2 linked regions of the Neurospora crassa OR74A genome follow. The protein of the gene in region 1 binds, or shares a complex with, the protein of each later gene. Links are inferred from orthologs where the notes say so. Each region holds a gene or a part of one and is shown in the gene's direction. Other genes may lie near its edges.

What was found.
Region 2: NCU02781 (region 1) and NCU09572 share a complex: the UniProt entries of both Saccharomyces cerevisiae proteins name them as parts of the arp2/3 complex. The link is inferred for Neurospora crassa OR74A from reciprocal best matches to the Saccharomyces cerevisiae genes ARC40 and ARC18.

Annotation. Positions count from the first base shown.
Region 1 is NC_026501.1:9,215,742-9,219,526, reverse strand, and holds NCU02781 (hypothetical protein), read left to right. Parts: upstream 1-1,218; 5' UTR 1,219-1,442; coding exon 1,443-1,665; intron 1,666-1,748; coding exon 1,749-2,591; intron 2,592-2,658; coding exon 2,659-2,699; 3' UTR 2,700-2,990; downstream 2,991-3,785. Other genes in the region: NCU02780 (U2 small nuclear ribonucleoprotein B), read right to left, coding at 1-301, 366-650; NCU02782 (hypothetical protein), read left to right, coding at 3,435-3,785. UniProt on the Saccharomyces cerevisiae protein: Functions as a component of the Arp2/3 complex which is involved in regulation of actin polymerization and together with an activating nucleation-promoting factor (NPF) mediates the formation of branched actin networks.
Region 2 is NC_026507.1:963,096-966,752, forward strand, and holds NCU09572 (ARP2/3 complex 21 kDa subunit), read left to right. Parts: upstream 1-1,418; 5' UTR 1,419-1,672; coding exon 1,673-1,678; intron 1,679-1,919; coding exon 1,920-2,312; intron 2,313-2,437; coding exon 2,438-2,617; 3' UTR 2,618-2,952; downstream 2,953-3,657. Other genes in the region: NCU09571 (tRNA (adenine-N(1)-)-methyltransferase non-catalytic subunit trm6), read right to left, coding at 3,218-3,657. UniProt on the Saccharomyces cerevisiae protein: Functions as a component of the Arp2/3 complex which is involved in regulation of actin polymerization and together with an activating nucleation-promoting factor (NPF) mediates the formation of branched actin networks.

The DNA of each region.
Region 1 (3,785 bases):
CGCTGTCTTCCTCCATAGCAACGTCCGAATCGCTCTCCTCCTCTTCTTCCTCCTCCTCCCGTGGCCGCTTCGTTCCCCGGTTCTCCTCTGCCGGTGTGGTTGTCTCCGTCCCGGGAGGCTTGGCTGGCGAACCTTGTGGTGCTGGACTCTCGGTATTCGTAGTAGGGGCGCCTGGTACTGGGGCACTAAAGATACTCTGTTGGACGGTGGTGAGGGCCACGGCGGCGGCGGCCTTGGGTGGCACGAGAGTACCGTCGAGTTTGGCGATGATGTTGGAGCGGCCCTTGGCGTAGGTGATTTTCTAGGCAAACCCAAGTTAGCATGTGAAGGGCTACCGCTGAAATATTCAACCCGAGAAGACCTACCATTTTGCGGCCCAAAAACTCCATGCCGTCAAGTGACCTCATGGCCTGTGTTGCTGTCTGAATGTCCCGGTAGACAATGTGTGCTTGCCCGCGCATCTTCATGGTCTTGAGAGCGACGACATCGAGGACGGGGCCGTAGGTGGAGAAGAGCATGTATAGTGCTGTACGGAGGTCGTCCTTCTGGATCTTAGCTGAGGGGAGGTTCGTGACGTAGAGAGTCTGGTTTGGCGGGTTCGAGACCACCTTTTGGGGGAGGCCCGCGGGGGGAGCAATACGCGTAGCCATTGCCGCGTAGGAATCCGGGAGTTGATGCTGTTGTTGTTTGTCCAATGCAGGTTGTTAATTGTCGCGTAGATTTTCAGTATATCGTAGGCGCCTCGTGGTAGGGGTTAATATCGTCAATTGTCTCGTCGTCGTCGTCGTCGTCGCTCGGGTGTATGATGTTCAGTGTTCAATCATGAATTCAAGTCGCGGCGGCGCATGCGATGTCGACAATTCAGATGCTGGTCCAAAAATTGGAGACAGTGGCCAGCCAGCCTACGAACCATCGAAATCGGTACACAAACCCCACGGGCGTGGGTGCAGCTTGTTGGAGGTACTGCGGTTGCGAGCAAAAGTAAAACCCCCTTGTCAGGTATCTTGCACGGACCACCACAGCCAGAGCTTCGTGAGCACTGTGTGGTCGACGACCTGATCCACGGGTTTAACTTACCCATCTCACCATAGTAGGTTCCAGTTCCAGGTGGGTCAGCCCCGGCCGGCAGCAGGGCACTCTTGGCGGCGTCACCCACCCGCAGCCAACCCCACCACCATACGCTGCCGCAACGGTGCCCCTGGAGCCTGGCGGTCTGACCTCATTTCAGGCGTCCAGCCCGCTGTAGTTACGGAGCTCTCCCGCTTCCCGTTCCCGGGCACAGCTTCCCCTTTCCAATTACAACATCCGGCTCCGACACCACCGAACCAAGACATTCGATCACACTCTCCGTCATCACCGTCCCCGATTCCGAGCGCGGTAGTAGAGAGCTATACTCCTATCGCATACCTTATTTCTACACAACACCAACCTAACAACCCACAATGGCTGCTCCCGAGGTCCACCATCTCTTCCACCACCCCATCGCCGACCACTCCTTCTCGGCCGATCGCCAGACCTTGGCCATTGCCCGCGACACCCAGGTCGAGCTCTACGGCAGAGTCGGCAATGCCTTCAAGCTCAAGGATGAGCTCAAGGGCCATGACAAGCTTGTCACCAGCGTCGACATTGCTCCCAACACCGGGCGTATTGTGACCTGCTCTCAGGGTAGGCCCCCCCTTTCGCAACCCAGGCACCCCATAATGCCACCATCACAGTCAGCTAGACTAACAACCAACCCCAACTCACAGACCGCAACGCCCTCGTCTGGGAACCCTCCCCCACCGGCTACAAGCCCACCCTCGTGCTCCTCCGTATTTCCCGCGCCGCCACCTTCGTCCGCTGGTCTCCCTCGGAAGCCAAGTTCGCCGTCGGCTCCGGCGACCGCGTCATCGCCATCTGCTACTTTGAGGAGGAAAACGACTGGTGGGTATCCAAGCACCTGAAGAAGCCGATCCGATCCACCATCACCTCTGTCGCCTGGCACCCCAACAGCGTTCTTCTTGCTGCCGGCTCCACCGACGCCCACGCCCGCGTCTTTTCCGCCTTCATCAAGGGCACCGACCAGCGCCCCGAGCCGAGCCCCTGGGGCGAGAGATTGCCTTTCAACACGGTCTGCGGCGAGTTCCTGAACAACTCTGCCGGATGGGTGCATTCTGTTGCCTTCAGCCCGAGCGGCGACGCTCTGGCGTTTGCGGCGCATGACTCCTCCATCACCGTCGTCTACCCCTCTGCGCCCGAGCAGCCGCCCAAGGCGGTGATCAGCATCAACACGCAGCTTTTGCCCTTTATGAGCCTCTTCTGGAACGGAGAGACTGAGATCATTGCTGCGGGTTACGATTGCGAGGCTTTCCGCTTCCAAGGCGGCGAGCAGGGGTGGCAGCTGGCCGGCACGCTGGAGAAGGCCAAGGCCGGAGGAAGACCGGGTCTTGGTGACGAGGACAGAGAGGAGTCTGCGCTGAACATGTTCAAGCAGATGGACCTGAAGGGTAAGGTCAGCAAGGATGATACCATGTTGAAGACGGTGCATCAGAATACGGTTACTATGTTGAGGCCCTTTGAGGAGAGTGGTGGACGGGTGACCAAGTTTAGTTGTGAGTGTTCCCCATTTTTACATGACCTGTGGTTTCAAGAATTATTGATGCTAACTTGACACAACAGCGAGCGGTGTTGACGGCAGAGTCGTCATCTGGCACACCTAGATTTCCCCTCGATGAAAGAGGGTTGCTGCACACATTGGGAAGCAGAAAAGCCAAGCAAGCAAGCGTAACATCTAATGTTAATGGAACAAGAGTGAATGGCTGATAATGAATCAGATTCAAAGTCAAGATCCATCAATGTCAGTTTAGCGGGTAACTTTCCCGGTCTTTGATTTCTGCCCTATCCGTGCTTCCCGGTATCCGCCAAAGTGATTGATTGTCCATTCACCCATTGTACAGAGACTTATCATGTCACTTCTCCACAGTGAGCTATCCGTTTGTCATGACCGCCCGGCCAATTTTGCAAGATATGTATGTGTGAATCAGACACACAGTCAAGAACAAATACAGGTTCAATACATACAAAGCAATTCATTGACTTCCGCTTGTGGCTTGCCGGACACATTCCGATTTGCCGTGATAACTTCCATAAAAGGATCATAAGAGAACTAATAACCGGCAGCAGGAGAAGTGCATGTCACAATTCATGTCCATACCTACCATTGTTTTGTCCCTGTCGATTATTTATTCCATATCCTTTCGCTCCTCATCCAGACCTTCAGCTTCAAAAGCAGTTTACCATAAGTAATCAGCCGTCCGTCACTCCGTCCCTTTCAGCTATCCAAACAAACTCAACTTACCTCGCTTTGCCTCCATCTTCCCTGCCTGCCTACTTCGTTGTCTGGTTAGAAGAAGAAACAGCGGGATCAGAAGAACCAAACAACAACAAACTGAACCATGGACCACAACAGTTCCTACGACTACTACCCATTCAACCACCCCCAACACCCTCTGTACTTTAACCCCGTATCTCCTGTTCATGTTCCTCCTCCTCCTCCTCCTCCTCCTGGTCATCCAGAACCAGAGGAACAAAAAGACTACCACCACTACGCTCCCGCATCACCAAGCGACTTTATTTACAACGCCAACTCCTCTGTCAACACCACCACCGCCGCTAGCATCCTTCATCATCATCATCATCGGCATCCTTCCCGCTCTTCTCGATCTTTATTCTCCAACGAGCCAGTACTCGCCTATCCACCTCGGACAGTGGGGTCTAGGTCTGTTGAGCAATCATTTTCGAATTAC
Region 2 (3,657 bases), on another chromosome or scaffold:
GTGCACGTTCCCTTTTTCTGGGGTCCCCTTTTTCTGTTGATCCAAGTCAGCCCCACGCACAAAACACAGGTGAAATCACACCAAATTCGCAGCGCCGGTAAAACATGCAAGCAACTCACCTGAAAACGAATGGTGCTTGGAATGATGTTTTGTTTTGGTTTGAGGAATGGAGAAAAGCGATCCAAAACAAGTCGCGCTGGTAACGACTGAGTCACCGTAAAGAGGGGGGAAAAAGCACTAGGATCAAAGTTTGCCTCCTAGTTCAAAAAAGTGGGAGGGGTTTGTCCGGGTTCTTGTGTTTGTCTTTGGGCGTGAAGAAGCGGAGGGCTGGTTTTAATGAACGATTGAAGAAGGCAGTTGTAGGTAGAGGAGAGAACCGTGACGCAGTGAGTGATGTGATGGGACTGGAGAACCCCAAATACCCCTCCATCACCCTTTCTCAGTGGACGGCGCACGACGGCGCTTTTGATTCCGCGTTGGTGCGTACACTACTATCACAGTACCTCTAAGCAGCGTAGTAGCGCTCTCGACTGGTGGTGTGCCTGTCGGGTGTGTGGCAGTCCCCGGCCGGATTTGCGTCGGATGAACAATTGCGCCAACAACAGCCAGCCAAGTCTGGACTGCTGGCTGATTTCATCATCTACGACGCGCTAGCACACGAGCTCCCGTGACTTATTGTCTTGGCATCCCCTCTTGTTTCTTCAATGTTTCTGCTTTCTGAGTCTTCTCCTCTCTCCTTGACGACGGGCCCCCCTGTTGTTCAAACAGGCAGCGGTGGGCGCAGCGCGGCGTTCACGGTGTTGAACTTCGTCCTATCCAACCAACATTCAGGTGTTGGCTCTCTTCCAGGTTGTTGGACTCGACCACGGCGTGAACCTCGGTCAATCTTCTTCCTTGAAAAATTCCGCCATAATGAGTAATGATGGGATGGATCCTTGGAACACCATCTTGAGCATGGAGTCCTGCTCTTTGTCTGGATTCCGAGACACAGCAGCTTAAGTTGCATGGAAAGCGGGCGCTCACGTCGAACGCGGTGGCTGACTACATGACACGTGAAGAGTCTTTGTGTAACTGAATCTTCCTCTGTATACCAATGGAGTGGCATTTTGACTTGTTCACATTCGCTCTCCTCCTTCAGATGATGCATTGTGCAAGACCTTCCGATTCCCCCGGGACTAGGTGGCTCCACTTCAGGCCGCAAAGATCCACTTTATCGGAGTCAAGCGAGCTGCTGCCTGTCCGATGACGAGGCCGGCTCCGGTAACTCTACACGTGATGGGAACCGGGAGTGCTTCATTGACTGTACCAGGCCTCATCCGGAGTCCGGACACAGCCACTGCTGAGCCACAAATTCAAATAGAAAGGTAACGCACAGACCAAGTCCAGCTCTACTGTCACAGAGTCCGTCACAGCGGCACGGTGCAAGCAGCGGTCGTCACCGCCAGCTCGACGTCAGCGCAGGAGAAGCCGCCATCGCCCATCGCTGGCACGCTGCAGGTCCAGGAAGGCCAGCCCAAGTCCAATTGACCCCATCACCCCGCAAGGCTGCGCCATAGAACCCGGACGCGGTCAAGTCAACACGACATCCCAGATTTACCTAACTTCCAACTTGAACACCATTTGCTTAATCTGGTAATAGCTTCATAGAGGGAGCTTGACACCAACCGTCACAATGCCGGTAAGCGCACCCATTCGCAAGCTCCCAACACCCAGCCGCTATGCGTATAGCTTCCCCAAGCTATACCAGCCAGCCAGCCAGCTACCCCTTAATCGTCAGACAAAGCTTCGTCCATGATCGCATCACCACCACCCACAACACCACGAACCGCTTTGCGCCCAATCGCATTTCTTCGCCTCTCGCCTCACCTCACACACAAATTCCCATTCTCAATCTCTCAACTAACGACGCCACTCTCTAGGCCTACAACTCCGTCTTCAACGCCGACCCCTCCCCCCGCCTAATCGGCAACTTCCCTCTCTTCCCGCTTCGCACCAAGATCCGCGGGCCGATCTACCCTCTCCCCTTCCCGGACCCTCCGCTCGCCGCCAACGAGTCGCCCGACCCGGACTCGGAGTCATACGACATTCTGGACGAGACGCTAGCTCTCTTCCGCGCCAACACCTTTTTCCGCAACTTTGAGATCCAGGGCCCCGCCGACCGCCTGCTGGTCTACGGCATCTGGTACATCAGCGACTGTCTGGGCCGCATCAAGCCGCACTATGGCGTTAGGGAGGCGACGAAGGAAGTGAACAATGCGGCGCTGGATGTGAACTTTGCGTTGCCGGGCGATCCTGGGTGGCCTTTGAATCAGGTGAGTTTTTTTGGCGTAAAGGATTTAGGGCGGAGATAGAATACGGTGAATGTGATGGGAGTAGATGTGGCCCGCGGCGGTGAACAAGAAAATGGATGGCAGCTAATAAGTTTGACGCAAAACAGATGTATGAACCCCCCCGCGACCGTCAAGACGCAGAAGTCCTCCGTCAGTACCTGTCGCAGGTCCGGCAGGAACTGGCGCAGAGGTTATTGGCGCGCGTGTACGACGACGAGACCGAGGACAAGCCGAGCAAGTGGTGGTTGAGCTTTACCAAGAGGAAGTTCATGGGCAAGGGACTCTGATGCGATGCCTTCCCTGTTCAGATGGCGTTGCATGGAATCGTTTAGCGCCAAAGTATAATACGTACTCTACACAAATAATATTTCAAGTTTCCTAGAGTGTGAGGGTGTGTTGGGGCGAGCGAGCAAGACTTTCAGTTGTTGTTGTTTTTGCGTGGTCCGGTTCGATCAGGCATAGATCGAGTACACATACACTTGAAACCCGATCATGAGCGACATGGGTTATATCTCCAGTTGACGTTCGATTAGTAGAATTACTGCAGCTCTATTTCGTGCAAATGGTATCTAAGAGCAAACGAGATCTATGCATATCGGTCATGCTGGTTCTCCTAACTGCTACCACTATCAGACTCCTGCTCATTGTTTGCCCGCCTTTCATGGACAAAGCATAATCATTTAAACCCATGGTCGCCTCCACTCCTCCTCGGCTGGTCGAGTCCACCTACTGTAAGCGAGCCTCGAAACGCTCTAACTGTCTTTTCCTTTCTGACTTTCCCTCGACCTCATTGCTTCCGTGGAAACCTCTGTGTGAGATCTTCCGATGCACGGGGAGAGAAGTGGCATCCTTGAACTCCCATAAATAACTCTTTCCGACCAATCCACTCATGCCGAAGCCGGCGTCGAAACGCTCTCCTCCACCTTTCTCCTCTTAAATTTGCCCTTGGCCGCAATCTTGCCCTCCGCTGGCTTCGCTCTCCATCCAGTAAAGATATATCCATCCGCACCACCGCGCTCCGTCATCAACGGATGCGTCCTGCCCGGCAACACCTGCCACCTCCTCGCCCTGCTAGTCTGGATGCTTGTGCCCAGTAACAGCGTGGGGTTGAGAGGGAACTGCTCGCTTCCCTCCCACTTTTCCAGCTCTTCGGCCGTCTTGCCCTGGATCTCCGCCACGTGTCCGCTGTTCCACGCCGTCCTCCTGGCAACGCTGAAGCAATCGGCTAGTGTCGCGAGAGGCTCGAGAGAAGGGGAGTAGATGGCCACGGGGGCGCCGCCGGCCAAGAGGGGAAGGGCGTGCTTGAGGATCGAGATCGGGTCCATGG